Mus musculus: one gene and its partners. The protein of the gene in region 5 purifies or fractionates together with the protein of the main gene of each other region. This does not show direct contact. Links are inferred from orthologs where the notes say so. Each region holds a gene or a part of one and is shown on either strand. Other genes may lie near its edges. The genes, in order: Ankrd44, Ppp6r3, Ppp6r1, Ppp6r2, Ppp6c, Ankrd52 and Arhgef2.

What was found.
Region 1: the proteins of Ppp6c (region 5) and Ankrd44 purify together in Homo sapiens (affinity purification with mass spectrometry; 5 studies listed by BioGRID and IntAct, counting the BioPlex papers as one, with this or other methods). This does not show direct contact. The link is inferred for Mus musculus from reciprocal best matches to the Homo sapiens genes PPP6C and ANKRD44.
Region 2: the proteins of Ppp6c (region 5) and Ppp6r3 purify together in Homo sapiens (affinity purification with mass spectrometry; 10 studies listed by BioGRID and IntAct, with this or other methods). This does not show direct contact. The link is inferred for Mus musculus from reciprocal best matches to the Homo sapiens genes PPP6C and PPP6R3.
Region 3: the proteins of Ppp6c (region 5) and Ppp6r1 purify together in Homo sapiens (affinity purification with mass spectrometry; 11 studies listed by BioGRID and IntAct, with this or other methods). This does not show direct contact. The link is inferred for Mus musculus from reciprocal best matches to the Homo sapiens genes PPP6C and PPP6R1.
Region 4: the proteins of Ppp6c (region 5) and Ppp6r2 purify together in Homo sapiens (affinity purification with mass spectrometry; 9 studies listed by BioGRID and IntAct, counting the BioPlex papers as one, with this or other methods). This does not show direct contact. The link is inferred for Mus musculus from reciprocal best matches to the Homo sapiens genes PPP6C and PPP6R2.
Region 6: the proteins of Ppp6c (region 5) and Ankrd52 purify together in Homo sapiens (affinity purification with mass spectrometry; 6 studies listed by BioGRID and IntAct, with this or other methods). This does not show direct contact. The link is inferred for Mus musculus from reciprocal best matches to the Homo sapiens genes PPP6C and ANKRD52.
Region 7: the proteins of Ppp6c (region 5) and Arhgef2 purify together in Homo sapiens (affinity purification with mass spectrometry; 4 studies listed by BioGRID and IntAct, with this or other methods). This does not show direct contact. The link is inferred for Mus musculus from reciprocal best matches to the Homo sapiens genes PPP6C and ARHGEF2.

The regions. Positions count from the first base shown.
Region 1 is NC_000067.6:54,657,136-54,660,968, forward strand, and holds part of Ankrd44 (serine/threonine-protein phosphatase 6 regulatory ankyrin repeat subunit B), read right to left. Parts: intron 1,872-3,833; coding exon 1,784-1,871; intron 565-1,783; coding exon 481-564; intron 1-480. UniProt on the Homo sapiens protein: Putative regulatory subunit of protein phosphatase 6 (PP6) that may be involved in the recognition of phosphoprotein substrates.
Region 2 is NC_000085.6:3,470,979-3,474,811, forward strand, and holds part of Ppp6r3 (serine/threonine-protein phosphatase 6 regulatory subunit 3), read right to left. Parts: intron 2,889-3,833; coding exon 2,791-2,888; intron 1,056-2,790; coding exon 1,001-1,055; intron 124-1,000; coding exon 1-123.
Region 3 is NC_000073.6:4,655,938-4,660,231, forward strand, and holds the start of Ppp6r1 (serine/threonine-protein phosphatase 6 regulatory subunit 1), read right to left. Parts: upstream 3,014-4,294; 5' UTR 2,544-3,013; intron 1-2,543. UniProt on the Homo sapiens protein: Regulatory subunit of protein phosphatase 6 (PP6). May function as a scaffolding PP6 subunit. Involved in the PP6-mediated dephosphorylation of NFKBIE opposing its degradation in response to TNF-alpha.
Region 4 is NC_000081.6:89,277,348-89,281,180, reverse strand, and holds part of Ppp6r2 (serine/threonine-protein phosphatase 6 regulatory subunit 2), read right to left. Parts: coding exon 3,811-3,833; exon of another isoform or gene 3,752-3,810; intron 2,483-3,751; coding exon 2,397-2,482; intron 1,909-2,396; coding exon of another isoform or gene 1,828-1,908; intron 1,462-1,827; coding exon 1,364-1,461; intron 1,175-1,363; coding exon 1,117-1,174; intron 823-1,116; coding exon 698-822; intron 427-697; coding exon 263-426; intron 1-262. UniProt on the Homo sapiens protein: Regulatory subunit of protein phosphatase 6 (PP6). May function as a scaffolding PP6 subunit. Involved in the PP6-mediated dephosphorylation of NFKBIE opposing its degradation in response to TNF-alpha.
Region 5 is NC_000068.7:39,223,508-39,227,919, reverse strand, and holds the start of Ppp6c (serine/threonine-protein phosphatase 6 catalytic subunit), read left to right. Parts: upstream 1-1,570; 5' UTR 1,571-1,678; coding exon 1,679-1,753; intron 1,754-1,793; exon of another isoform or gene 1,794-2,112; intron 2,113-4,412.
Region 6 is NC_000076.6:128,375,593-128,380,177, reverse strand, and holds the start of Ankrd52 (serine/threonine-protein phosphatase 6 regulatory ankyrin repeat subunit C), read right to left. Parts: upstream 3,055-4,585; 5' UTR 2,956-3,054; coding exon 2,929-2,955; intron 2,610-2,928; coding exon 2,526-2,609; intron 2,091-2,525; coding exon 2,012-2,090; intron 1,826-2,011; coding exon 1,755-1,825; intron 798-1,754; coding exon 597-797; intron 1-596. UniProt on the Homo sapiens protein: Putative regulatory subunit of protein phosphatase 6 (PP6) that may be involved in the recognition of phosphoprotein substrates.
Region 7 is NC_000069.6:88,627,421-88,631,253, reverse strand, and holds part of Arhgef2 (rho guanine nucleotide exchange factor 2), read right to left. Parts: exon of another isoform or gene 1,730-3,833; coding exon of another isoform or gene 1,691-1,729; intron 1,468-1,690; coding exon 1,323-1,467; intron 1-1,322. UniProt on the Homo sapiens protein: Activates Rho-GTPases by promoting the exchange of GDP for GTP.

The DNA of each region.
Region 1 (3,833 bases), on a different chromosome or scaffold from region 5:
CAGCTCTTGCTTCCTGACCTGCTTGAGTTCCAGTCCTGACTTCCTTGGTGATGAATAGCAGTATGGAAGTGTAAGCCGAATAAACCCTTTCCTCCCCAAGTTGCTTCTTGGGCATGATGTTTGTGCAGGAATAGAATCCCTGACTAAGACACATACTATGCCTTACTTTTTCAATTAAAAAATATTTTCTTTTGGCCAAGGATTGTGCATGTATACAGTGAGGAAGATTATGAGTTTGAGGCTAGCCTGGGCTTCATAGCTAGTTCAAGGCCAGCCTGAGCTACACAGCAAGACTCTAAACACTAAGGGCTGGGGTTGTAGCTCAGTGGTACTTTTTGGCTTGTCTAAGGCCCTGAATTCAATCCTCAGGACTACCAAAAGTAAGTTTATATAAAATTGAAAGCAAATGGTTTACTATTCAAAATTCAAAAACAAAGGCTGAGACTCAGGACCAAGAATATGACAGCTTGCATTGCTTACCTGCCTTTGTCATCCCTGCAGCTGACAATGCTGGGATCTATGGCCCCCAGGAGCAATGATGCACAGCTCTCGTGACCATTTATTCTAAAATGAAAATAGAGTTCAGTATTAAAAACCTCATTAAAATTATATAGTCCTTCATACCTCATCTTTACAAGCATTGCATACTCAACAATTTGATCTATTTTTAGAAATCTGATGCCAAGCTTTGAGCCAAGCTACAATAGTGTACACTGACCCCCTCCACTGATTCCATTAAGGGCCTCTGTGTCTGTAAGAGACTCTGGAACACCACTCCCATGAGGTCCCAAGTAGGTGACATCCAGACACCAAAGTGGAAAAGACAGATCCTTCACACATGAAATCATCCTGGTTAGTACTTTAAAGGTTTGTTCATTTTGATTTTATGTGTGTCAGTGTTTTTCCTGCATGTATACATGGGCACTGCATGTGTACCTAGTGCTGGAGGATGCCAGAGGAGGGCACTAGATCCTATGAAACTGGTATGGATGGCTGTTAGCCACAGTGTGGGTGCTGGGAACCAAATCTGGGTCTTCTGCAAGAGCAGCAAGTACTCTTAATTACTGATCTATCTTTCCAGCCCCTAAAGTCACTCTGATTCTTTCTTACCTACTCTTTCTGTACTGATTTGATTTCATGCCTCTACTGTACTTCTAGTCAAATGACCCAGCTTCATGCAAAGCCCACAGACAATGTAAAGACAAGGCACTTTCAAGCCTTGCATCCCAGGCTGACTCTCAGAACTCCGACTTAAGGTCACTGCATTCTCTGAACAACAAGTTCTCTTTATGAACTTGCAATAACAATTAAATTTGAAAAGGAGGAAGAGAAGGAAAAGGAGGAGGAGAGGAGGAGGAGAATGGGGGGGGGGGAGGAGAATGACGAGGATGAAGATCAAGAATTATAGGAAACGTTTTCCTGGTAGAAAATTTCTAACCAGTTACAGACATATTACTATCAACCTTGACTTATTTTTCAGAGTTTGGGGGGTGATGGAGGCTACTGCTGAAGATCTCTTTACATCTGTAAACCATGCCTCTCAGGCCACCACCTTCAGTTTCCTCATGTGGTACATGAGTCACCTTGGAAATGTAGCCTCTGGAAAATCATTAACACGAGTTGCATGCTTGGCTAGCAGGCCTATTTGTCTTTAGCAGCAGAATAGAATATATTAGTCTTATCTGTAATCTAAATGCTTTCTCCACCTGTAAAAAGACACCTTTTCCACATGAAGTTAAAGGAACAGAAGTGGCCGCGTTGCCTTTCGAGAGTTTCTACTTACATTGCACAGTGCAGTGGAGTGAAGGGATTACCAATAAATTTTCGAAAACATTTTTGCTCCAAAAGTACCTCTATGCAGTTTTCATTACCTGCAAGGAATAAACACATTTAGAGAGCTCACAAGAAAGAAACAAACTTTGGTCATGGTGGTTTGTTGTTTGTTTGTTGTTGTCTTGTTTGATTTGGTTTGGTTTTAATTCCCCATTAAGTGTTGAGTTCAATGTTTGTTCTCTGTAGAATAAAACAAAACGCTAAAATGTTATTAACTATGCTCACAGGTGTTCTGAGATATAATGAAGAAATCAAACAGTGAATGCCATATGGCCTGGTGGGGAGAGAGAAAGAAGCCGAACCCCAGGGAGAGGATGCAGTCTGTGTGACCAGCCTGTGTCTGCCCTCAGATTCAGCACCCTTCCACACCCTTTCCTTTCCTGTTGTGGTTTCTCCCTTGCCAGAGAGAGCTCACAAGTTGCAGGTTAAAATATTATTTTAGGTAAAAAATTTACAGCTGGCCAATGGTAGGATAAGAGCAAAAATAAGTTTTTATTAAGGCAGAACCAATGAATGCGAAGACTAATGAAAACACAGGTAGTTTTAACTCAATGTAATTGAGCACAGAAACTCTTCCCAGAAAACATAATCACAATTTCCAAACTAAAAATCCTAGTGGAACTGAAATGCAAATATAAAGTTGCAGAAGTAGAGTTAGAAATATTCATATGAGATATCCATTCTCTTAGGGGGTAAGAGGTCTTCGTAAGGCTGATTATGGAGATACCACAAAATAGATTCAACCACACAAAACTTCAAAACATTTGCATGGCAAAAGGCATTCAAAACAAGGAACAGAGACACTCCCAACACACAATACAGAAGAGCCACATAGCCAAGGCACCCTGCTCTTACAGATGCAAGGGAAGAGGTAAGCGGTTCACCATGAGAAAGCAGGCATGGGTGAAAGGCCACATTCAGAAAGGGAACTATAGCCAATAAATTATATTATGAGATGCAAACTTAACCAAGAAAAAGTTACCAAAAATAAAGAAATACAATCACACTGGGCTGGCAAAGTTGTAGCAAAAATACTTTTATCACATTAGGGCAACCTTTTGTACAAAATATTATTCCTTAAAATTCTAAAAACATGCCTTTTATTTAAAAAATTCACTTCTGGATATTTAATGAGATTTTCATGTTATAATATGAATATGCACTGCTACAGTGTTTATGGTAGGAAAGAAACCCTAAAATTAACCTAAAAGTCCATCAGAGGGGGATCGGGTTGAATAAGCAAGTTCTAAGGAATGTGCATGCACGTGAATGTATGTGTGTGAGTGTGCATGCAGGTGTGCATGTGTGTAGCTATCAGTATATTACTATTAAAACTATGTATTGTGCATATGGTATCTAAGGATAGCCTGCAGTAGGATTTTAAGGGAGCACTAAGAAAAAAGGAAGAAAACTATGGGATGAGACTTGTGGTATAATTCCACTTAAAGAATATGCATATTTTTTATTTATAATCTCAGAGGAAAAATTATGAGACATGCATACAATTAGCACACATTTCTCTTTTGTTCCAAATAACTGAGATAAAAAATTTGAATATTCCAAGTAGCACACACAACAAAGCAAATGTGGAATGTGGATATTAAAAAAAAATACCAAAATCTAAACTACACATCTACTAGCGTTTATGAGTGACTCTACTGTATGTGAACTATACTGTATGCTGTTTTGTTTTTACCGTCATTGTTTTAATACTTCATGTGGTTCCTGGTTATCTGGTGCAGATCAGAAACTCTGATTACAGTTGCTCAAGTCCATTGGCGACTCTGATGAGGTGTCACAGGAAGAGGGAAACAAACTAAACCTTACTCAGCATCATGACAGCCACAGGGGTGGGGATGAGGGATGTTTAAAACAACATAAGACAGACACCAGTGTCTGGGTGCAGACACCAGTAACCACAGCATACAGCAGTGTTCTCACCTCCACTGAGGTCACAGAGGTGCGAGGCTAGAAAGTCTAGTATATGACATTCTACTCAG
Region 2 (3,833 bases), on a different chromosome or scaffold from region 5:
CCTCTGGGATTCGGGAGTAAATGCAATGTGCTTCTCCTCCCAGATATCCTCTTCATCAGAGCCGCCATCATCAAATTGTTGTATCCGTTCTTTACAACATGCTTCAAACAGGGCAATATTTCCCTACAGAAAAAAAGTAAAGAAAAGAGAAAAATACAACTGAAGTCAGAACTGTTTTCTCTCCCAAATTACCAGGGAAAATTGTGTTTTTATATTTGCTTTTCAAAAAATGGTACCTATTACATATGCCCAAATCAAGCATAAACATAAAAATAAAATGTTAGCTTCTGTGTAAGTAACAAAAAATTCCTGAGAAAGATTGGATTTAGCATGAAAAAGGCCTGAATATGAGCTCACTTGTTCCTCACAGGACTGCCCATTTCATTCTGAGCTTCCTCTTTGATCAAAGATAAGTCTTCAATATGACCAACAAGGAAATGACATGGGTCCTTCCTGTTACCAGCCCAGGAAGTCATAAAGAGCTGCTATAACCTGACGAGTTATTCTACCTCACCAACAGCAAGTAAAAGTAGATTCTCATGATATTCAACCTAAAATCAGAACGGCCCCATTAAAATGCCACAAATGTCTTGTTTGTAAGAGAAGCCTGGCAGAGAGCTTGATATTGACCCAAGTTATGTTCTTTTCATGCAACAGAGATGAGAAACCAAGGCCAAATGTCTGTGGTACAATCACAGTGGCAGGGTCCTATTAGCCAAGGTTGCAAACTCCTACTTGCAGGTCCAGGCAGACATAATGTGATGATACTCATTAGGATAACTGGGATGTGGGATCCCATAGGGCAAAAGAGCCTACAGCTCGGGACAACCATCTGCAGCCTCCGGCAACACTCAGCACAATTCTCCACTTCTCCAGAGGCACAGCACGACAGAAAGCGTTTATACTCACACTTTCACAACACAACACAACACACAACACAACACAACACAATTCTCCACTTCTCCAGTGGCAGAGCACAACAGAAAGCGTTTATACTTACACTTTCATTTGTATTGAGAGTAAAGTTGATATCTGACACCCGATCAAAAGAAACACTATAAAGAAAACATAAGAAGAATTGTTGTCATCCATAGGTGGCTATAAACAGTGCTCTGAAATCCTCAAAATTTCAAGTATTTCTATTATCAATGCACTCTCGGTGAGTAATGCACAAACCCTCCGTGCTGTATTCAATGGTGCCCTCCCTGGTACTAAAGAGTGGATACAGGGAAGAGTTGAGATGGGAGCAGTGGAGATGATGCTTTGAGGCCGTGACAGCCTTTCAACAACACATTTCTAACTTCTGTGCTAATTATGGTTGCAAGGATCACATCAACAAAACCAAGAAAAAAGCTTCCAAACAATCAAGTCCAAACATGAAAAAGCACAAAAGCATTGTTAGGTACTAGGACCGATTCGTACATGAAACACACAGGCAATCCTGCCATCCTGCCTCCTTGAAAGCATGACAGGGATGGGTAAAAGCAGCCATGATGAGCTACATGATTATAAATGGTGGGACAATGTTATTAATCATCAAAGCTCCATTCTAACCAGTTATCAGGCTAAGCATTTGTTCTAAAAGAGAATGTCAATTCTGAACTAGTAAAACTAGAGTCCAGATGGGAAAAATCCAAGATGTCAAGAGGAGATGGGGTAGGGATGAGGGTCTGTGTGTGTGTCTGTGTGTGTGTGTATTCTGATCCTATGTAGATTGTTCACATAGCAAACAGATAAATGCCTTGTATAGTGTTTTTCTTTCTGGATAGAAATAAGCCAATGAGGGAGGTCGCTGGGTGTCTTAGTGCATGCTGTTCACAGTAGAGCCTCTGCTCCAGACTGCCTGTAGAGCATGTTCATGCAGTGCACTGTGAAAAGATTTTAGCTTCCCAGAGTCCAAACTCAATGTGTAATAAAACACTCTACACTAGCTCAAGTCCAATACCTGCTGCAAACTACTGCTACGGTGCCTCAGTGGACAGTCACTACCTGAGATATCACAGTGGCTTAAAATTTCCCTTCACCTCTGCTCTCAATAACCAACGATCTTCATATTGGGTGGTTGTTCTCATTCCCAGGCAGGATGCAAGATGCTGGTCCTCCATTCTGCCAGTCATCTGTACATCTCCTTTCTCTGCTCTGCCAGTTTCTAATTCCCTCTCTGCCTCTGACCCCGACTGCAGGGCAATGGTTAAAGTACTTGGCTTTTGTAAAATAACCCAAACCTCCTTCCTTATAGGGACTTCCCCAGAGCAGAGAACACATACAAGCAAGGCTGGTTGGTCCTGCTGCCCTGATCATCTGCAAGAATGCAGTACTAAACAATGTGCTGGACAGTCAGTGACACCTTGACCAGGAGGCAAACATGGGAAGGAATTACAGAATCACTTATAGTAATGGTATACTGAGAAGAGCAGAATGGTAGCTGGGGTCTTTGTAAAAAAGTTAAGTTGGAAGCAATGGCAGGCATCTATCCTACCATATACTAACTTAGCAAGCTAAGACAGGAGGATGCTTGAGCTCACAGATCCAACATCAGTAGGGGATAACACAGTGAGACTAATCTCAAAAACAAAGATCACTTAATAAACACAAGTCCCTAGGAAAGGGTCCAGTGCCCTGTCCAATACCCAGGGTCCCTTGGCTCTTAGTTTTGTATCAATCACCAAGAAAATGACAGTGGGACCTACAATTCAGAGAAGCTACAAAATACATGCTGACAGGAGAACCACAAATATAATTACAAAGTGTGTGGGGGAAGTCATTAAGGAAATATTAAAATATACTCACTTGCCAATGTCGTCTTGGTCTGCAAACTTCTCATCGTTGAAGCCAAACTGGTCAATAAAATTGGACGTCATTTGTTGCATCTGATAATCAGAAAAGGCCTGGCAACCCCAGGACCAGTGACAGTGACATCATGATTCTAATGACATTCTATACACTATTTGCCCATTTGTGTTCCAGAAAACCACTTTAACTCACACAGCCATGGAACTTTAAAGGTTGGTGTGTTTTTCTTTAGAAAAAGAAAAATCAAATAATTTCAGACATTTTACCCCAAAGGGGGGGATTTTTGAAATATGACACACAAACTGCTCCACTATACATTGTTAAGAAATATTCAAGAGATCATACTGTAAAAAGTGCCGACTACTATAGTCTTTGGACAGAGAACTGAGTTAGCCTTAGTGTGAAGAGGTAAGAGACATGTAAGTCTGAAATTATCAGAAGTCTCATCATCTCCAGACACAACCAACAGTATCCTAAAATATAATGTGCTAACCACCCCCAACTTCCCACCCTCCCCCTAGCCCCCACCATTTCCCCATGCCCATCCACCATAGCAAAAGTAGCATCAGAGAAAGAAAGACTGATGGACATCATCATGATCCTGCAAATGAAATGCTGGCCTAAGTCTTGGAGGCTGAGAACCGTCTGAGAGACTTCTGCACAACCTACCTGAGAGATAGAGCAGGAAGCTTTAACCTCCTCAGAAATCACTCAGAAAAACCCGGGACACTGGAAGGTCTACAGAGAGGCCAATTCTATTTCCATCAGTCTTGGGTGAGTCTTCCCAGTTGGAAAATACAGGAATGTTATATGGGACCTACTGAACTGCTGCCAGTCTACTTACGGCATCAGGAAACATGCCCTCGCTACAAAGACATCAAGTGCCACCTCACGTCCTCACTCTCACCGAGACAATGAATATAGAGCACAGGACCACGCTGTGAATATTACATGTGGCCAAGGACAGAGACAGCAGTGGGACCCTAGGAACAGCACTTACTAATGGGGGCTTTTGAGGCCACTGTCTGCAAAGGAGGAGG
Region 3 (4,294 bases), on a different chromosome or scaffold from region 5:
AAAGTGAGTTTGAGGCCAGATGGTTTGAAACAGATGAGACTCCAGTTCAAAATAAAAGTAAAAGTACTTGTTGGATTAATGGAAACAGAAGCCAGAGAAGAGAAAGTGATCTCTGAAGGTCACTTGGCCAGAGATCCCAAAGTAGAAAAGAGGGGCGGGGAGACAAGACTGTTTTCCTTCAATGGAAAAAAAAAAAAAAAAAAGATGCCACATGACCCAACAAAAGCAAACAACCAAAGAGGATGCATGTAAAGGAAAAAACACAACAGCTCCTACACCACACAGAAGCTCAAAGCACATAAGATACTTAAGCAAAATAGCAGAGTAGCAGTGTTTCTCTACTGGCATCAATAGAAGCTGAGACTACATAGCTATTTGTGGTGAGTGGCTGCTCTGTGCATTAGAAGACAATCAATAGCATCCCTGGGTGGGATATATACACTAAACGTGGGAAGCTTACTTTCTCTACTCCTACAGTTTTGACAACCATAGGGTCTCCAAGCATTGCCAAATGTCTCCGAGAGGACATATCATACCCAATGAGAACTACTGGGATATATTATCAAAAATCAGATGATAATCCTAAGAGATACTGATTCGATATACTTGCTGTGTGCCTTGCATTCTGATAGGCATCTACAAACATTGCACTCAATATCCTGAACCACTTTACACAGACAGCCCTCCTATTAGCCCACTTATAGAGGAGAAACAGGTACTGAACACTTGCCTAACTTTTCCAAGGACTCACCACTAGGAAAGGCAAGCACCAGGACTCAAACTAAGTCTAACTCACAAAAACTCTTGCTCTAGGTAATTCCTCATTATACCAACCCTAAAACTAGAGTAGAGTCACTGAATTTGGGCAAAATGATTTGCATTAGGCAAAGGTTACCAGGAAAATAAATAACAAAAAACCCACAGGAGAAACATTTCAAAGAGCACAAGATAACTCCAAGTGCATGTGGCAGAACACAGCAAGTGCTCTCGTGTGAACTGTCCACATTAGCTGTGCAGAATGCACATAGAAACAACTCATACTGTGTTGTTGAAGCAATCCAGTCCCTGCAACACTGGCCTTGAGTCTGACAGAACTTCTCCTTTAAGATGGAAGCAACTCTGTGGCAGTTTTACAACCCTCAACCCAGTACCACATTTGTCATACAGTGCAGCTTCCTTTCCAGAAACATCTTGCCTCCAGGTAATACATCCTCAGTACAATTGCCTCAGTATATAAGGAGTGGTCAAGACCATAACTCCCTTGGACTGGCAACATAAACATTAATCCCAGGTACTTAGAAAACTGAGATTAGACGATTGTGCGTCAATAGCCCACCAGCTCTTCAGAGTTCAAAGCAAGCCTAAAAAAATTTGCAAGATACTGCCTCATAGTTTAAAAGCAATAGGAGAGGCTCAGGCTATGTGTAGCTCAGTCGGTGGTAGAATGCTTGCTCCGTGGCAGGAAAACTGGGAGTTGAGCCCTAGTACCACCACCGAAGGGAGGGGGGAAAAGGACTACCAACCAGGTCACTTAAGGCCCTGGACAGCAGCTCCAGCCAAGCCATTCCACCCTTGCCCTCTTAACACTTCAACCCACTCCATCCTGGCTCCCTCAGTGTTCCCACCTTCACATATTTGCACGCGGTGTTTCTTCCACCTGGAAAGCTCTTCTTCCCACTCTCCATCTGTTAACTCCCACTCAGCCTTCCTCGACAGAAAAGTCACCCATCCGGCCGGTCTCACCAGTCTCTCCCACTCTGCGGCCTGCTGCCACAGCACCCTGGGTTACCACCATCACAACACACAGTAATTGTGACTGTCCAGCTCTGCCTTTGGCTCCCTGAGTAGATAAAAGTACCAGGGACTTCCACTGACCACTCCCTCCTGGACCCAGCAACCAAGTTCTGCCCTCAATGGGCCTCATCTCACAGAATACCCAGTAGCGCACCAAACAGTGGTTCCAAAGTGCCTCCTCACCACAGGAAACTAGGGACAAACAGGGACAGGACAGCCACAGCCAAGGCGAAGGAAAAGACCTGTTTAACCTTGCCTTCCTGAGCAGAGGGTGAGAAACAAAAAGGTCAAGAGTCCACGAAGGCTGGTGAGAGTGAAAAGAGTAGGTAGACACAGAGGTGAGCACAAAAGAGCAGGCAAGAGGAAGGAAAGAGAAAGGCACCCTAGAGGAGGAAGACTACGACAGGGGGGACAGGGGAGTGGGCCCAAATCCCAAGAGAGCTGAGTCAGAATGATAGGTGGAGGTGATGTAGATCCCAGTGGGAAGAGATGGGGGCTGGGGGCTGCGGGGAGAAGAGTCTAAGAGACTTAGAGAGGGTCCCCAATAGACGAGGAAGACGGGCTGGGAATGACAGCGAAGTAGACACAGGCCCGGCGACAGGAAATAGACTTGATGATACTGGCAAGTGGCTAAAAGACTTAGGGAGTGAAAGGGAGGATACTAAGAGACTCAGGGGCGCTCAGGGAGATTTGAGGAAAAGACTCCGGATTAGAAGGCGCACGCCCGGGAAGGCAGCTGCGGGGCTCACCTGCGCGGGGGGGCGGCGGCTCCTCGCACTCGGGGCTCATCGGGGCGCCCCTGCCGCCCCGCCGCCGGCGGCTCCGGCCCTGTCGAGGGGCCGGCTAAGAGGGGCGGGGGCGGCGCCGGTGGGCTCGCGCAGGCGCCCGGGCCGGAGCTCGCGAACCCGCGCAAGCGCCCTCCAGTCACAGGGAATCCCCTGCCTCACCACCGAGCTTCGACGAGTTCGGGTCGTCGCGAAAAAGTAGGCGCACTCGTTCCACCGCAGAGCTCCGTGGCCGACGCGAGGCCCGCGCAGGCGCCTCCGAAGCAGGGCGACGGGGGAAGTCGCCGCGGGTTACACACTGACACGCCGGCACCCGCGGGACAGGAAAAAGAAGCCTCCGCAGCCCGACGGGTGCAGAATTGCACCGAGAGCCGACGCCCGTCCCCTCGGCTTTACTGTCACCCGAAGCGGCTGGGTCTCCCCGGCCCCAGCCGTCCACCTTAAGGCCTCCGACGCAGGGCTACCTCCGCCACTGTCCCACAATGCCCCGAGCGCGGGAGGACGCAAGAAGACAGGCTCCGCCCTCTCGTGGTCGCTCTCCGTGCGCAGGTGCGCGAGAGGCCGCTAGGTCGGCCTGGCGAGGCGCGTGCGCGGTGAGCGCTGGCGCCCAGAACCCGCCCACTCCGGAACTCCGCGGCTGTCCGTGCCCACGGTTGCCAATGTTCTCTCCCTGAATAAACCTAGAGGGCCCAGTGCGCAGGCGCTGCTGCAGCCAGAACCCCGTTTTCTGTGACTACATTCCAAAATCCGCTGAATATTCGGTTCTAGGATCTTTCGCCCTGAAAGCTACCTTCGGAAATCCGATTGTTATTCCGACTCCTTCAACCATATTTCTTTGACTCGAGTCAACTCCTAAGAAATCCATTCCAACTTTTCGTCCTCACGCGAAGCTGGTTGCTTTTGTTCAGTCGGGTTCGTCCCGGATGCCTAAGCGTCTGCCGAGGTTTTCTGGCTGACCTCCTACTCAGGCATTTGCCCAAGCCGCGTCTACTGTTGCCAGTTGCTGCACAAAGCCTCCTCTTGTAACAACCGGGAGGAACCCCTTAACGCCGGGATTCAGTCACTAAAGGGCCTTTTCTAGCGCTGAGCCTCGGTTTACCCCAACTTTCATCCCCTGCTCCTTCGTGCCCGTTTTAGAGGTCAGCTGTAAGGACTAGATAAATGCATGTAAGAAACATTAGTTTTCCTTTTTTAAAACAGCAGATTAGGACTTTATATTTCGGGGACATTTCACGTCAGTCATTATTTTGACTTTCAAGGGATGTAGATATTTTTCTCCACCCCTTCTCAAATGGCTTTAATGGACTTGCACAGATTAACACCTGTCAGTAATTTTTTTCGTCTTGTCTCTCCTGGGCTGTGCTGCTTTTAATTTTTGTTCGATCTTGTATCAACTGAGTTCTGTGTAAGAGAGCACCTTCATATTAAAAGTGAACACTAGCTCTGCTCCCTGTCTCCTTTAAGTTCAGCCTGCCCCCCCCCCCCACCCCACCCCCAATTCCAGGATGGGTCTTCTCTCCCCAGTTAGACCTTTCTGGAAACTCATACACACACTGGAGATGTGTTTCCATGGTGATTCTAAATCCTGCCAACTTGGCAATGAAGATTAACTTTCACACAAAACTTCAAGGATGTCGAGCTGGCTTCATGGGCAAAGGTGGCTGCTGTGCAAGCCCATAACCTGGCTCAACTTAAAATTCGATCCCAATACCCAC
Region 4 (3,833 bases), on a different chromosome or scaffold from region 5:
AACAGAATGGACACCAGCTGTGCAAGTGCACATGTATACAGGCAGGCACTACAGTGGAAGGGAGTAAGAACACCTGGCTCGATTCAGTGCACAGCAGAACCCGTGGTGGCCAGACCTCCCAAAACATTTCATGAAACCATGTGTAGATGGGGAACTAGGAAATCAACTGCTGGAAAAACAGTGGCTCAAAGGGGGTCCCTCAGCCAAGTCACCACACCCTGTCCTCAGTACCCATGTCCCTTGTACAGTCTTCAGGTACTACCTGCTGAATCACTCTCTGAGCGAGGACCTTCTTTCTGTGTAGGAGATGAAGGAGCGGCCAATCCAGGCACATTCCTAGCTACTGCTGAGCCAGTCTTCCTGTCCTGGCCTCCATGTTCCAAAGCATTCTTTGAGTAATTATCTGAGACATGAGGGGCTCCAAACCTGGGCAGACATAAAGGTAGCAGATGTTTGGTGAGCCTTGGTTAGATGCCCAATGCTGGAGAACCTGTGATGGCTCAGGAATTGGGACCAGGGTTGAGTACGGGGTGTCTAGAATAAGCACTGCTTGGCTCCCAGGTCTGCTCTGGTTTCTGCAAGAAGGGCCACTGCCCCTCTAGGTGTCTGAGCACTTTTAACAGTGGCTGAATACCCAGCGCTTAATCTTGCCTGCTCCCCGCTGGTGGGGGCTTTGGGAGGATGAGTGAACCCACACCTGGCTCTGGCCATCACCCGGGCAGCGCATCGAGTCTCGTCATCTTCCCAAATGTCCTCCTCTTCATCATCATCAAAGGGCTGGATCCGATCACTGCAACAGGCTTCAAACAGAGCTGCACTGGGCTGTAAGACAGAATGCAGAGCTGTTTTCTGGAGAATCTGGTCCCAAAGAACTCCAGAGGGGCTAGCTCACAGAACATGGCCGACAGACAGTGTGGGAGGAGGCAAGGAGGGAAGCTCGGCTCTCAACTCCCATAGAGGGGAGCCTCCCAGTCCTGACACACAAATATACTGGCCAGGGCCCCATGGTTCCATCCACCTGTGACAAGGACCAAGTTGTGGACACTGTGAACTATCTGAGCAGTGTAATAAAATGCTGCTATGCCCTGCAGCCCTGCAGCGGCCCCCATCACTCACACTGTCCTCATCGGCTTCAATGTTGAAGTTGATCTCTGCAATCCGGTCAAATGGGGCGCTGCAAGAACAAGGTCCCTCAGTACCGCCTCTGCTCCAGCAGGCCTGGGCCCTCGGGTAGTAGGGCTTGCTATCTCCTCAGGGACAGTGGACCTCATTCCTGCCAAGATCACTTGGAGCTGCTTCTATGGTGCTGTTGCTTAGGGCAGTGCTAGCCTAGAGCCGGAGCCTTCATGGTGGCTGTACTCACTTGATGTTGTCATCCTGGTCTGCAAACTCCTCATCATTGAAGCCAAACTGATCCACAAAGTTTGCTGTCATCTGCTGGATCTGGTACTCAGAGAAGGCCTGGGAGGAGAGGGTACAGCTATGGAACAAGTTGTCGCCTGGTGGCTGCTCCTTGGAACCCACTCCATTGCTCAGGAGCCTCTTAGGAAGCAGGCAGTGGATTTTCGCAGAGGTTGACTGCTCACAGTGGTTGAGCAGTTGCATACAGAGAGCACCTCCTCAGTCGGCCTCCAAGCTTACTGTCCCCAGGTCTCTCTCACCACGGTAACGTGACTTTGGGGTACTCGCCCAGCCCCCTCTCCCCAGATGCGCTCGGAGATGAGTTACTTCTCTCTTTTCTATGCAATGTCACGGCAACTAAGCACTACCAAGGACACAGGCTCCAGAAGGGCCCGGCAGGGTGCAGAGTGCCGGCCATGCCCTCACCTGCTGAAGGGACAGCTCGTTAGGGAAAGTCCCCTCAATGTCCTCGTCCTCACTTGAGGAGTGAAGGTGGTGAGTGCTCACCTAAAACACAGGCCAGATGGGGTGGGCATGTGAGCTAGCCAGACCCCACCCAGTCCATTCCAGCCAGAGCCCCAGGTCCCGCCCAGCCCAGCCTGAGTCTCCCCCTCCCCGATACCCTCCCACACCACCAATCCCCTGACACCTGTAGGCCTGTGCAGCTCACTGCAAGGAAATGCCAACTGAGGCCAAAGCCTCCTGAAAGAGAGCCCAGCCTCCCTGGTCCAGGTAATGCCCTGGGAACTAAGCAGAGTCCTTCACAAATAAGCCATAGCTCTGGAGGGTGGAGATCAAGAAAGCACTAGCTTTGCAAAGAGATCCTCAGGGAGCCAGCTCTGCTGCGACATAGCAAGGGTATGTAACAGACTGCAGGCCAGAGGCTGAACTAAATGTCCAGTCCTGCCCTTGCGCATTCCTCCTCGCCCTGTGCTGCAGAGTGGTACATATGGGACTGCCAATGGTCACCATGGAAGGAGCCCCAGCTTCCTCACCAGGTCCACAGTGTTCCTGCGGTTGGTCTCCATCAATGTCTCTTCCACAAAGCTCTCCCAGCGTCCACGGCAATCTGCAGGGAGCCCTGCAAAGTAAGTGCTACTCATAAGTCCTGTGAGTACCCTCATAAGTGTGGGACTTATGAGTCCCAAGGGTAGGGCACTCAGGAGCCCTAGCAGGCAAGGGCTGGTCCAGAGAGGGACAAGTTATGCTTCTACGATCAGTCCACTCAAGACAAACAGGGGCTGCTGATAGGAAATAAGCCTATACAGCAAAGGGGGAGGGTTAATGTCCTCCAGGGCCTTAGGCTACAACAACTCTGAGCAGGGCAATGTTCAGCTTGTTCTACAGAGACCGTATCGGGCATGAGAGTTCTGTTGTTTTATGTTTTTTGAGACATGGTGAAACCATGTAACTCTGGCTGTCCTGGAACTCAGTATGTAGACCAGGCAGGCCTCAAACTCCTAAAGATCTGCCTATCTCTGCCTCCAGAGTACTGGGATTAATAGTTTATGCCAGCAGGCCTGGTCTGAAACTACCTGCTGGTACATATGTCTACCCTAAGGGTCTGAGGAAGTGAGCACCTTCCTACTGCACTCCTAGGCCTGGAGTGTGGGAAACTAGAACCTGGGCCTAACTGGAAACAAGAACCTTCTGCTCACCCCTCACCTCCCTAAACTGGGCTCCAAGCCCATTTCTTTTTCCCTTCTAGCAACAAGGGAGCCACCTCAGCTTGTTCACTGTTCTGCCCTGCTGCCCACTCATCATGAGTGATGATGGACCAGCAAGCTCAACTTCACCACTGTTGCAGTATACCTAGGAAGAAGGTGGACAGGCAAGTGGCCTCCAAGATACCACAAAGAAAACAATTCCTCTGGTCCTGGGTCATGGGGAGGACCACGTGGAGCTTCCTTAACTCATACTTGTTGGGGAGGTATTGCATAAGGGAACTGCTCAGGGCAGTAGGCGTCATGTCTGAGGGGAGAAGCTCTGCTCTTTTGCTTGGGGCATAGAGTTCAGGGTTTCAGGCCTTGCTGCCCACAACCTACTTCTAGGGGACAGAATATCACCTACACTCATGGCCTCCTGATATGAAAACTAGGAAGGCCCTCTAAATAGTGTGAGATGGAAACAAGACAGGAAGGTGAGTCAGGACCTCTAGTACAGGCACAGCTCTGGAAAGCCCGTGAGTACAAGAGAGCTTGGTGAGAAGCTCACAGTTTCGAGGCCCAGCACTGAGTCATGAACTGTCCTTGGCAGGCTGAGTCTCCTATACTCAGATCTCTGCTCCATGAACAGGACACCCAGCCTACCCTGAGAAGATGACAAAGAAGGCTGCATGGTTTGACTATACCAGTGTAGTTGTCACTCCTGAGGACAGAGGGCAGAGGGAAGGGAGCGTAGTGGGCACACCTCGGATGACTTCACTGATGTGG
Region 5 (4,412 bases):
TTGAATTCTGTTTTTAAGGGGCTAAAGAGATGTCTCAAACAAAACCAAGCAAAGAAAACAAAATTTAAAAATCCAAATAAGTTTGATCATGTTGCATGTTTAAAATCCTACAACAGTTGTCCACTGCATCAAAAGGAAAATAAATCTATGTATTCATTTCTTCCTCTGAGCTCCAGCCACTATGGTATGGCTCTTCCACAAAAGCTCCAAATAAGCTTAGAAATGCATCAGATATCTTCCATACAACTTCCCACCTTCCCAACTTTGCTGTGTTTTTGTTGTTGTTGTGTTTTTTTTTTTTTTTTTGAGACAAGGTCTTCTGGTTGACCTGCAACATGCTACATAGACTAGGCTATCCTAGAACTCACAGTTATCCAGCTGCCTCATCACTGCTGTGGTCAAATATGTGGTACACTATGGTCAGGTTAATTCTGAATCCTGTGTCAACCCATCCTCCTTACTATGCTGGAATGTTTTCCTTAAATTATCACTTTCTAACATGCTCTGAGTAATTTATTATATTTGTCGGTTATCTCTAACAGAATTAAATTGCAAGTTGAGGACAGATTTTTTAATACATTATTTTTTATTATTTTATTTATTTTGACTGCAAATATATTTCTGTACCACATGCACACAGTGCCCAGAAGAAGGTGTCTGATCTCCCGTAACTGGACTTGAAAGCAGCCACGTAGATGCTAGTAATAGAACTTGGATCCTCTGGAAGAACAGCTAGTGCTCTTAACTAATGAGCACTCTTTCCAGCCCCAAGGATAGAGATTTTTGTCTATTGCAGCCATTGGTTATTCTAACTGCCTATAAGTGTATCTGTACTTTGTTGCTATTCAATATAGAGTTGTCAAATGGACCAATGTTAAAGCTATAGTAGGTGTCAAGAACTGTTCTTGGCACTGGGATACGACAAAAAAAAAAAAAAAACCTTTCCGGCCCCCTCCTGGAACTCACCGGATTAAGTCAGTAGCCTGTTTTTCAGTCTAGGATCCATCTTTTCTGTTTCCTTTGAGATTTTGGGGCAAATAACACATGCAAACTTTGCATTCTTACAGTCTTACAAGAATTGAACAGGAGAAAAAAAAAGTGCCAGTATTTGTACAGAATGTGGCATAAGAAATGCTTTATTGTTTGTTTCTTCCCCCACCCACCACCCACCCCACCCCCCAGCCAGAGAACCGGTGGTGTTAAGTTTGTTTCAAATGTTGTCTAGGCCAGGTCTTCAGTAGTCCTGGAAAGGCGGTAACAGTAACTCTTAACTTTAACTGAAGATACTTTACAGGGTAGGAGTGAGAGCCAGGGAATTCTTAGTTAACCACTTCATGGTCTTCCTTAGAAAAAGCCTCATTTGAGGTGAAGTCTGTTGCCAAGGATAGGAAAGGAAGAGCATTTTACTAAAACTACAAATCCCAGCACGCCCCGCGGCAGAGAGCTACGGGTCCCAGTAGGTTTTATCAAAAGGACCTCCGGGTTCTCTTGGAGATAGATCCGTGGCCCGGAATTCCGCCTGAGAGAGAGAGCGGAACGGGTCAGGCTTTTACGTCGCTTCGCAGACGCCACTCACGGATCGGACGTGACGTAAGGAGGGTTCCGGATTCGGCCTCCGCCGCTGCCTCCGCTACTACAGCCGCTGCCGCTGCTGTCGCCGCGGCTTGTTCTTCCTAAAATGGCGCCGCTGGATCTGGACAAGTATGTGGAGATAGCGCGGCAGTGCAAGTACCTTCCCGAGAACGACCTGAAGGTGAGCCGGGCCGGAGGCCGTCCAGCTTGCGAGGCAAGCCCCTTCCGGCTGCGGGGCTCCCGCCGGCCCGCCCTTCTCCCTCGGCGGGATCCCTACCGGGCGCCCGATCCTGGCGCGGCGGAGGGCGCTCCGCGGTGCGAGAGGACCGGGTCCGAGGCGGCGTGACGCGGAGAACCAGGGGAGCCCGGATCCCCCGAATGCTGTCCAGTTCTTTGAGGGGAGATCCCGGGGGATGTCACGATCCCCTGACCCTCACGGGACTCCGAGCTTAAAGACTCTCACTCTAACTCGCTCGGCCTCCCGGAGACGGAGCCGGGCCGAGCGGGTAGTGCTCCCGGGATGGGGTCCTCCCAGCAGAGGTAACAGGAGCCGCTGTCTGCTCCAGGGACGCGGCCGCGGTGTGTTTAAGTCCCTGAGAGGTGGAAGCCGGTGGGCGGGATCGATGCGACCATAATGGGAGAGAATGACAAGTCGCCTCAGCTTCACCACTCCCCTAAATTGCTTCTTAGGAGTGGTAGTTTTCTTCTGATGATTTGGATGTGGATCTCATTTCTTAGCCCGTTGTTGAGCTATTTAAGTGAATAAGCAGTTGCTTATCAATAAGTTCAAATGTTTTTATGACCTCTGAGCTGTTCCCCTGTAACTCAAGGTGTCGTTTTCTTGGTTTTCCAAAGGAGGTCTTACTCAGTTCAGGCTAAGTTAATGCAGTAAAGAAGTAAGCCGTTGGTGTACCACTGTTATCAACCGTATTTTGTTTCTGCAAAAACTAGTGCTTAGGACCACGTTGGTGTTTATCCGATGGTTGCTAATGTCTGTTTTATTCCGTTAACTTTGATTTGCTATGTAGTCAGTCACTCTCGATCATTTGAATTTTTTTTTCATGCTGTTTTTGTAATATTTTTAAGCCACAGGCTTAAAACAATTTTTTCAAGAAAAAAATTGCCTTTTTCCTAACGAATTTTATTTCTCTTGTGAAGATTTTGCTCTGTGTCTGTTTTCTTGTCTCATCTAGTACATGAAGTTTATATTTAAATCAGCCAACAAGTATGCAAAATGTTTAAGACCTCAAGTGTTGGTTGTGTGAAAGTACATAGCTTGTAACTTACATACTGACTGCCTGTGTTACATGATTGGTGTTCATATTCAGCCACCTGAATCAGGCATTTGCCTTGTCTTCCTGCTTGGTAATTTTGTTTTGTCTTGTTTTTGCTTTCTTCCTGAGATAAGATCTTAATATAGTTCTTGCTGGGGCTGGAGAGATATCTCAATGGTTAAGAGCACTTGGCTGCTCTTCCAGAGGACCTGGAAATTCTGTTCCCAGCAAGGGCATGATAGTTTGTAACATCCTGTCACTCCAGTTCCAAGGAATCTGATGCCCTCTTCTGGTCTTCATAGGCACCAGGTACACATGTGTTCCACAGACATGTGTGCAAGCAAAGCAGCCATACACATAAAATAAAAACAAATCTTTAAAAAAAGTTCATGGTGGCCTCCAACCCAGTATGTACCTGAGGATGGCCTTGAACTCCTGACCCTCTTGCTTCTACTTCCCAACTGCTGGACCCTAACCAACATGCCTGGCTTTTTCTTTCCGTTCCTTTTTTTTTTTTTTTAATAAGATTTATTTTTAATTAGTTGGGGGGGGGCGGTTATGTGCACATTTTGCCTTTGTAAGCCAGGGGCACCAGGTCACCTGGAGCTGGAGGTACAGGCAGTTGTGAACCAAAAGATGTGGGTGATAGAAACTGAACTCGGGTCCTCTGTACAATCTTAACTGAGGAGCAATCTCTCCAGATCTTAGATATAGATATTTTGATACAGGGCATCATGTAGCCCAAGCTTGCCTTAAACCCCTGGTTCTCCGGCTTCCACCTTAATAGTGGTTTGTTTTATTTTATTGTGGTGTGAGGGTTGAGCTGAATTTTTTAAAAGATTTAGTTGTTTTTTATTTATGTAGATGTATGTGTACCTGTGTGAATTTATGTGCCCCATGTGTATGCTGGTGCTGGCAGAGGCAGAGAGCAATCCTAGGCTCCTGAAGTTGGATTTATAGGTGGTTTGAGCTACCTGATATTTGTGCTGGGAATTGAACCTGAGTCTTCTGCAAGAGCACTAAACTCTTTAAATTGCTGAGCCTGTTGTGTGCTTTTTAAATTAATTAAGTAATTATTTTGCTTTGTTTATCGAAACAGGGTTTCTCTGTGTAGCCCTGGGTCAAAGTCACTATAGGCATGGCTGGCCTTGAACTCAGAGATCCTCCATGTGTCTTTGGGATATGGGTATATGAGTGCAGATGCCTTCAAAGCCAGAGGCATTAGAGGCTGTAGTTACAAGCTGGAGGCTCTCTGAAGCTGTAGTTACAAGCAGTTATAAGCAGCCTGGCATGAGTGCTGGGAATAGAGTGTAGGTCCTCTGCAAAAGAATCATATGTGCTTTTAACTGCTGTGTCATTTCTCCAGCCCCACATTTATCTGTTTCTTACTAGACTGCCCCACTCCCCTAGTTTTTTGATTAACTACTGGGGAAGAAAATCTAAATTTTCTGTATATCCTTCAAAAAAATTGTTTCCTATCCTGGAAACAGTTCTATCAGATTAATTTGCTTGTGCAGCCAGTCTCTGATATAGTTTCTATTTGCTTGGTTGCTTATTTGTTGAGAC
Region 6 (4,585 bases), on a different chromosome or scaffold from region 5:
TCAGGTGTTTGCAGACTCTCAAAATCTTATGAGTCTATAACAGTGTCACTTGGGCAGGACAACTATCAGGATTAATTGGGCTACAAAGTAAGTTCAAGGCTATTTAAGGTAAAATGTATACAGGTGAACAGTCTATCGCTTGCCTACCATTGCCAACACTAGAACAAAAGAATTTCAATCTATGGGTTCAAAGTGTAGCTCAGTGACACAGCCTTTACCAAGCACCTGTAACACACTGCTTAAAATAAATATAAAATAAATCAATAAAAACTCAATATAAGCTGTGGATGCTAGCGTACCTTTAACCTGAGCACTCAGAAAGCAGAGGCAGGGGGATCTCAGTGAGTTCAAGTTCAAGGCTGTCTACATAGCAAGCTCCAGGCCAGACAAGCATGCATAGTGAGACTCTATCTCAAAAACAAACATCCCCCCCCCCCCAACAAAACCCTCTGGTTAACACAATCATTCCTCTGGGGCAGGGCCCCAGTATCTAAATAACTATCTGAGCCACTCCTGCCCATTGGGTCTGGAAGCACGTAAGTTATGGGTGAGAAGGAACAGAGAGAAGACTGTGTCTAGACTGCAATGCTCCTCACCTCAAGATGCCCACTGTGTACTGCATGGTGTAGAGCGCTGCGCCCGCTCCTGTCAGCCACATTGAGACTGCTCAACAGGGGTGCCAGAGCCTCTGCACACTTGGTGGCCCGGTTGGCAGCAGCCACATGCAGTGGTGTCTGCCACAGCTTGTCCCGGGCATTCACATCCGCTGAGTGTGCCAACAGCAGCCCCAGCACCTTCTGTGGTGGAGCAAGGGACAAGAGAAGACAGAGGGGAGCAGGAAGTGACATAAGAGGACAGAAGGAAGGGGCTGGTATGGTGACTAGTCATCCATCTTCCTAGCATGGTATCTCTTCCTTTCCTTTACACACCTAGCCTCTCCAGACCTGAGGTTGTTGGAGCTTAAACATCTTTGTTTTGCTGAGGAAAACAGGGATCTCTTCCCCATGCCACTTAGCATCTACCACCCTCCAACTTAGGTCCCCGAAAATCTCCACTCACACCCACCCTGGGCAAATCCACACACCCCAAGCCTAATTCCAGGAAAAACAAATGGCTCCCACTGTATTAATGGCAAAAACATCCTTTCCCTTAGCCCTTCCACAGACACCAAAATCATATAACCCCAATAAACAAGCATAACTGGATCCCCTTCGAAATTCAATGTTCCCGTTAAACATGTCCCACACCATTCCCACTGGCCTTAAGCTCTCTCCCCCTGGGAGCTGGAGCCAAGGAAGTGATGGGAGATCAAAGAGGCCTTCCCTTCCTCTTCAGGGTTGATAACACCATTGTACAGGACTCCATATGAGTTTGGGCCCTTAGGCAGTCAACTTAAATGTTGCTCGAGGGGCAAGGACACAGAATTGCTACTCCCCACCCCATCACAAGGAGAGAAATCTCAGTGCCCAGAGGGGGATCAGACTTAAGGTGGCCCCCAGGGAGGGATGAGTCACTCAGGCCTGGCAGCAGGGCCCCCGCAGTCTGCCAGCCCAGTGTTAAGCTCTCTCCCTGACGTCACATCAGCTGGCAGCACTCAGCCCCCCCCCCCCCAGCCAGTTCTAGGGGCAGGAAGGAGAAGCCAAACTCTGGTCTCCTCCCTGTGTGGGGCAGAAGAGTCTGTAGGGCAGAGAACTGAGTTTCTCTAGCCCTCAGCCCATCCTTTTTGAAAGGGAGAAATGAGGTAGGGTCTGTACCTCGTTTCGGGAGGCAGCGGCACGATGAAGAGGGGTCAGCCACAGTGTGTCCTTAGCGTTGACGTTAGCACCTGTGTGGACACAATTTGCTATTTTGTTGGGATTTGAGGAGGGGGAGGGAAGGAAACCAATAATCAGAGTGGGGAACCTGAACGGACAGAAAGCCATTCTTGTACCAAGCACCAGCAATCAATCCTCGGATCTAAAAAGACTTCTCCCCTCCCTAGATGCCGCACCTCCCAGCTCCCCACTTTCACCTGACATCAGTAGCAACTGGAGGATGGGGACATCGCCTACGTAGGCAGCAGCATGCAATGGGGTTCGCCTCTCTTGGTCCTGGAAAGGCAGAAAAGAGAAGCAGCTGTAGAGAGAAATTATCCTGAACGCCAGTTCTAGTATGAGAACTCCAAGCCCTTCCCTTCCTCTAGGTTCTTCTGCAGGGTCTTAAATCCCAATATCGGGCTTCAAAAGCCAGCATCCTGGGAGGGTGGAGTCAGGGCTACCGACCAAGAAACCTACTCCTTCCCGGAGGGGTGGGGGCGCTGCAGACCCCGATGGTTGAGAAGGGGACAGGGTTTTCTGGGCATCCCCAGAACCCATGATCGGTGCTCCATGCCTGACCAACCTTAAATGCGGAGCAGGCTCCCATTTCTGGGTAGAAAGAGCTGCAGTTTCATCAGAGCAGAGGAGAAACGGAGCCGCCCCACTTGTGGGGAGGGGTCCCGAACCCCTCCGGATTCCGGCTCGCCATCCTCCCTGCTCCCAACTCACCAGTACATTGATGTTCTCCTTCTGCGAGAGGAGGGAACGCACTTCCTCCACATCTCGGCTAAAGATGGCCTGGACCAGGGGCGGCTGCAGGGAGAACCAGCTTTCAGGGAGCGGGCCCGAGCCACGGCGTTACCAGGAGGTGGGGGAGCACACAGGTTGGAGGGGGGCGTCGCTGGAGGGGCTCCGCTACAGGGGTCCTGGCTGCAGCGGATTCCCGCCGTGCCCCCACCGGTCGCCAGGCCCCCAAGGACACCCGCTCCACGGAGTGGAGCACGGCGTGGGGCGCGGCGGGAGCCGCGGGAACCCCGGGCTCGGGCCCAGCCTAGGCCGCACATCCCCGGGCTCGCGTGGCGGCGGTGCCGGGGCCTGGGAAGAGGAAGTGGGGAAGGGTGGGAGGGCTGACCTGGTCCGTGATGCTGAGGATCCCCATGGCCCGGCCCAGGCTCCGTCCGCATCGAGCTCGCGGCAGCGGCGGCAGCGGCGGCGGCGGCTCCACCGGGGACACGGGGCGGCCCAGGCGGCGGCTGCGGCGGCGGCTGCGGGGAGAGGGCGGCCCCGCCTACCGGGGGGCGGGCGAGCGGGAGCCCGCAGCGCTCCCTGGCGGCGAGCCTTGGCCGGGCCTCGGGGTGCTCGCTGTCCGCGCAGGCTGCCCAGGCCTCGGCGCCCTCGCCCCGCGCCAGGACGGCCAGGGCGGCCCGGGCTCCCCCTACCCCGCGCGCGGGTTCCGCAGCTCCGCCAGCGGACCGCGCTGTGCCCTCCGTTGCAGTCGGGCGGCCCGAGGGGTCTCTCGCAGGCCCATGGCACGGAGTCGGGTCTCGCTCCCCCAGTGACTCCCGAGCCCAGGACCAAACAGCGGGCGAGAGCTCACCCAGCCCACAATGCTCCGGTAGAGCGGACGCCTCCGACCGTACTCACACCCCCAAGTACCCCAGAGATAGTGGAAACTCGGAGTGTGGCGACCCGAGACTTATAGATGGCCCCAGAACCAGTCTCCACTGGGTAGAAAGAAAATAGCAAGATTGCTAAGCTGCAGAAAAATCTCAAAAGACTCCTGCTTCAGGAAGCCTCCGTGAAGAGCTGGACACTTGGCAGCTGAAGAAAGGCCTCTAAGCCCAACAGCAACTCCATAATTACCCTGCCAGATTAGGGTAGTAACTGTTTCTCCCGGTAAAAAGGCAGTAGAGAGGAACTCCCCCTCACCCATTGGAGAGGTCAAAAGAGGCAGCCAATCAGGGACAGTTGGCCGAGGGAGAAAGAAAAGTGGAGACTGATAGATGGGTACAATTTATAAAAGATGCTTTAGAGCCAGGTGTGAATCATTTATAAGATTCCTGCGCTCTGGAACCTGAAGCAGGAGGATTGTGTATTCAAGAACTGTCCTGGCTACATCATGAGCCCCAGTTCCTTTGTGTTGCTACGATAACAATGACCAAACCAACTAAAAGAAGGAAAGGGTTTAGTCCATCTTTGAGAAAACTTAGGGCAGAAACTCAGACTTGAACTTGAACGAAGAACCCAGGGAGGAATGAACCCAGGCTCAAGCTTAACCAGATCTCTTATCTAATTTAGGGCCACCTGACTAGGGATGGTACTACCCACAGTGGACCGGGTCTGCCTATATCCATTAGCCAACAAGAAAGTGTTGGGCCTGGGCAGGTGGTTCAGCTAGTTAACGAGCATTGACCACTCTTCCAAAGGGCCCAAGTTTAATCCCCAGCAGCCACTTAGCAACTAATAGCGGATTGTAACTCCAACTGCAGAAATTTTTGGTGGGTAAAACATTCATACGTGAGATTTAAAAAAAAAAAAAGTAGTTTATAAGTTAAATTGAAAAGAAATCACTCTGTCTCAAATCTCACCGCCAAACAACAACAACAACAACAATAATAATATATAATAATAAGGGCTGGAGAGATGGCTCAGCAGGTAAGAGCACTGACACTGACTGCTCTTCCAAAGGTCCTGAGTTCAAATTCCAGCAACCACATGGTGGCTCACAACCATCTGTAGTGAGATCTGACGACCTCTTCTGGTGTGTCTGAAGACAGCTACAGTGTACT
Region 7 (3,833 bases), on a different chromosome or scaffold from region 5:
CACCCCACCTCTCCATCAAGTAGGAAAGGAAAAAGGAGTAGCTGAACTAGCTGAGCCTGCACTCGGGACCATGGCTGTTCCCTTCCTGACAGGCCCTCAGCTCTACAGCTCCCCCCACCCCACCCCCAAACACCACAGGAAACTCTGCTAACTCAGGCAGACAATGCCCAACACCACGCTCACTTCCACAAATACAAGGCACACAGGGTGGGGCAGAAGGGGCCGACAGAAGCCAGGCTGTGGCAGTGCCCACCCCCTGGAGCTCCCTTCCCCTACCCACAACACCTAGTGTCTCTGAATCGAGCCCCCGCTTTCCACCTGCTCTCAAAATAGTGCTACCCACCTCCCCAGTTCCCCTGGCAACAAGCTTCCGGATTGAGTATTTTGCCAGGTCTCTAGAGGGATCTAGATTGGGGTTACCTCCTCATCCTTTTGGCTCTAGATCAAGTGGTAAAGAAGTGGGGGGGGCAGGCCTCTCTGGTTCTTTTTGAGGGGGGTAGGCCTCCCTGGTTCTATCTGGGATTCCTTTCCAACATCCCAAAGGGATTAGGAGGCTAGAGTGGAGTTGTGTTGGTCAGTATCAAGGTACAACACTCGAGTCTACTCCAGGGAAGGCATGGGGATGGGGGTGGGGGTGGGGGTGGGGCAGGGCGGAGCTAGAGCCCTCTGCAATGGTATCCTAAGGAGGTCGGAATTCCTCTGTCTCCTTCCTGGGGCAGGATAAAGGTTAGACATGGGCAAGATTAGGAGTTTTGAGCCCTTCCCTCCATCATTCAGGTCTCTGCTGAATTTCTTTATCAGGGATAAAGAAATGGATAATCCCAGCCTGTCCTTGAATCTGCAGACTTCTTTTCCCTCACATGCAACAGAAAGGCAGGGGCAAGGAGTCCTCGCGTCTAAGCTGTCCAGGGAGATGGGCAGAGGCAGCTGCAGGCTGGCAGCTTCCCTCCGCTCCCTACTCCTCTCCCACCCTGCATTATAACACACATTCCTGCTCATTCTCCAGGCAGTTCTCCGAACTGTCAGCAGCTGTTCAAGAGGCGAGGGGGATACCCAAGCCAGCGACAGCTGCATGGAGAGTAACAACAGCCTCTGTCACCCCACACCCAAGAGACCAACCAGCTTACGCCACATTCCAATAGCCACCACCCAGTGTGGGCAAGGGTGGCAGGAGACCAAGCACCTGAGCATGACACTTGAGCCCGGCTGGGATCCGGAAAATAGAGTCCTTTAAAGGATCCAGGGTGGGAAGGACAGACGGACGGGAGAACTAGAGGTCGATGGCAACTGAGGCTAGGTCACCTTTGGGACCAAAAACTTACTAGGACAAATGAGGGCTTCCTTGGCTGTGATGCTCTTGTTACAGGCATAGCACATGGTCATGCCGGAGACGGAGATGGTGGTGAAGAGGTGGCCGTTGGTATAGCGGGCATCTTTAGCTTCCTTCATCTTCTCCTTTTCCCGGGTCTGTGGAAAGATTGAGAGACAGAAGTGAGGTCAGAAGACACTCAGTCAGGTACCTGGCGTCCAGATAAACAGCAGAGGCATGGGAGAAATGCCTGCCTAGAGAGGCTGAAGTGACAGCAATTGCTAAAGCATAACCCACTATGCACGGGTGTCCGAGGTGGCTGTCCAGGCATGACCAGGCCCTGGGTAGTCAGTCCCTGAGGCTTCGAGGCCTCTGACCTACCTGACCCCGGCGACTGGGCTGCCTCCTGTTCCCACTCATCTCCCTAGCTCTAGAGCTCTGCGTCCTCACTCCACCTTCCAGCCTTAGCTCTGCTCGCCCCCGGGCTGCTGTACGATTTCTCTGTGCCGGGGGAAGATGCGCAGAGAGAGGGGAGGACCAGTGAAGCAGAGGGTGCCAGCTCACCAGCGCTTTCCAATCTATGGGAGTTAGCTCCTCTCATAACCATGACAACGGGTGTTGGAGCTGCTGTCTTCAGAGCAGTCATGGGGGAGCAGGGATGGCAAAGCAGGAGATTCCCCTATTAGATTGGCTGGGGGTGGGGGCCAGGATGCCTCTTCAGACACCATCAACTCAGAGGCCAGGATCCGAACCCTCTAACTCTTCTACTTACACTCAGTCAAAGCCCAAAAGAGATCCCTCACTAGCAGAGTGTGTGTGTGTGTGTGTGTGTGTGTGTGTGTGTGTGTACGTACAGAGGTGGGGGCTCAGTACCCAAGAAACCCTGTGAACTCCAGATCACAGCGCTAGGCCTGCAGCACTCTTGAGTACCTTCTTACCCCGAGGTCTATGTTTACCTTTGCCTTTAAGCTTCCCCTACCTCCTCCAGCTTCTGTCAGAGTCCTTGACTTCTTTACTGTTCCTCCCCAAGCTCCAAGAGCCAGAAAAGGTGAAAAGACAATGTCAGCTGTGGTAGCCCATGCCTGTTAACTCCTGACTAAGACAGGAAGACTAAGACTATTGCAGCAAGCCTGGGCTACTGAACAACTGTCTCAAAACAACAACAACAACAACAACGTGTATGTGCATGCGCACACACTCATGCACAAACAGCACTGAGGTGGAGGCAGGAAGCTTGGGAGTTCAAGGACATCCTTGGCTATATAGTGATATGAGGCCCTATCTCAAAACACCACCACTACGATCAAAAACAAAACACAACACAAAACAAACAGGTTAGAAGACAGCTTAAAAGAAAAGCAAAGGCACCCGATGACCCTGGTCGATTCCCAGGTCCCACACGGCAGAAGAACAAACTGACACCCACGTCCAAACCATGGCACGGAACCAATAAGTCAGAAAAGGCAGGATAAATGGAACAGTGGGGCACGGCTTTAATCCCAGCACTGGGGAGGAGAGGCAGGCCGATCTCTGAGTCTGAGGCCACACTAGCCTACGTAGCAAATTCCAAGCCAGTCAGAATGTCACAGTGAGACCCTGTATCTAAAGTAATTAGTTAAGTTAATTAATTAAAGATGTTAGAGGACAAGCCAGGCAGGAGTGAAGCTCGTCTTTAAACCTAGCATTTGGGGCTGGAGAGACGGCTCGGCGGTTAGGAGCACTGACTGCTTTTCCAAAGGTCCTGAGTTCAAATCCCAGCAACCACATGGTGGCTCACAACCATCTGTAATGAGATCTGACACCCTTCTCTGTTCTCTGGTCTGTCTGAAAACAGCTACAGTGTACTTACATATAACAATAAATAAATCTTTAAAAAAAAAAAAAACTAGCATTTGGGTGGCAGAGTCTCGCAAATCTCAGACTTCGAGGGCAGCCTGGTCTACATAGTAAGTTCCAGGAGAGGAAAGCCAGAGCTGCACAGAGAAACCTTATCTCTAAGGGGGAAAAAATGTTAGGAGACAAGGACATCATTCAGGTGACTGGGGCTGAGAGTAGGAGCCCCAAGTTGAGGACACTGGCTGGGACCCTAGGACAAAAAGTCACAATTCAGTGAAAAGCATTCAGCCTGGGCCTGGATGAGCAGTCCTGCCTACGCCACTAACCATGCTGGCAGTTAGAGGGGAGGATGGGAAAAGGGGAAGCAGAAAGGTGCTGAGTCAACTGTCCAGGGGCTGGAGAGCAGTGGACCACAGAGCCCTGGGCCTTGGGGTGGCCAAAGAGCAATGGACCAGAGAGCCCTGGGCCTTGGGGTGGCCTGAGGATGATGGAGCCCAGTGGTCTAGACAGAGATCACCTCCTTATGTCCCCCCTTCACTTTACCACCTCCGCCATACATTTTTCCTTTCTCCCCTAACTATACTGTTGGGGTTTCATTTGGTAACTTTTTGATTTATTTTGTTTTGAGTCAGGGTCTCACTATGAAGCCCTGTCTAGCCTTGAACTAAAGGTAATCCTCCTGCCTCAG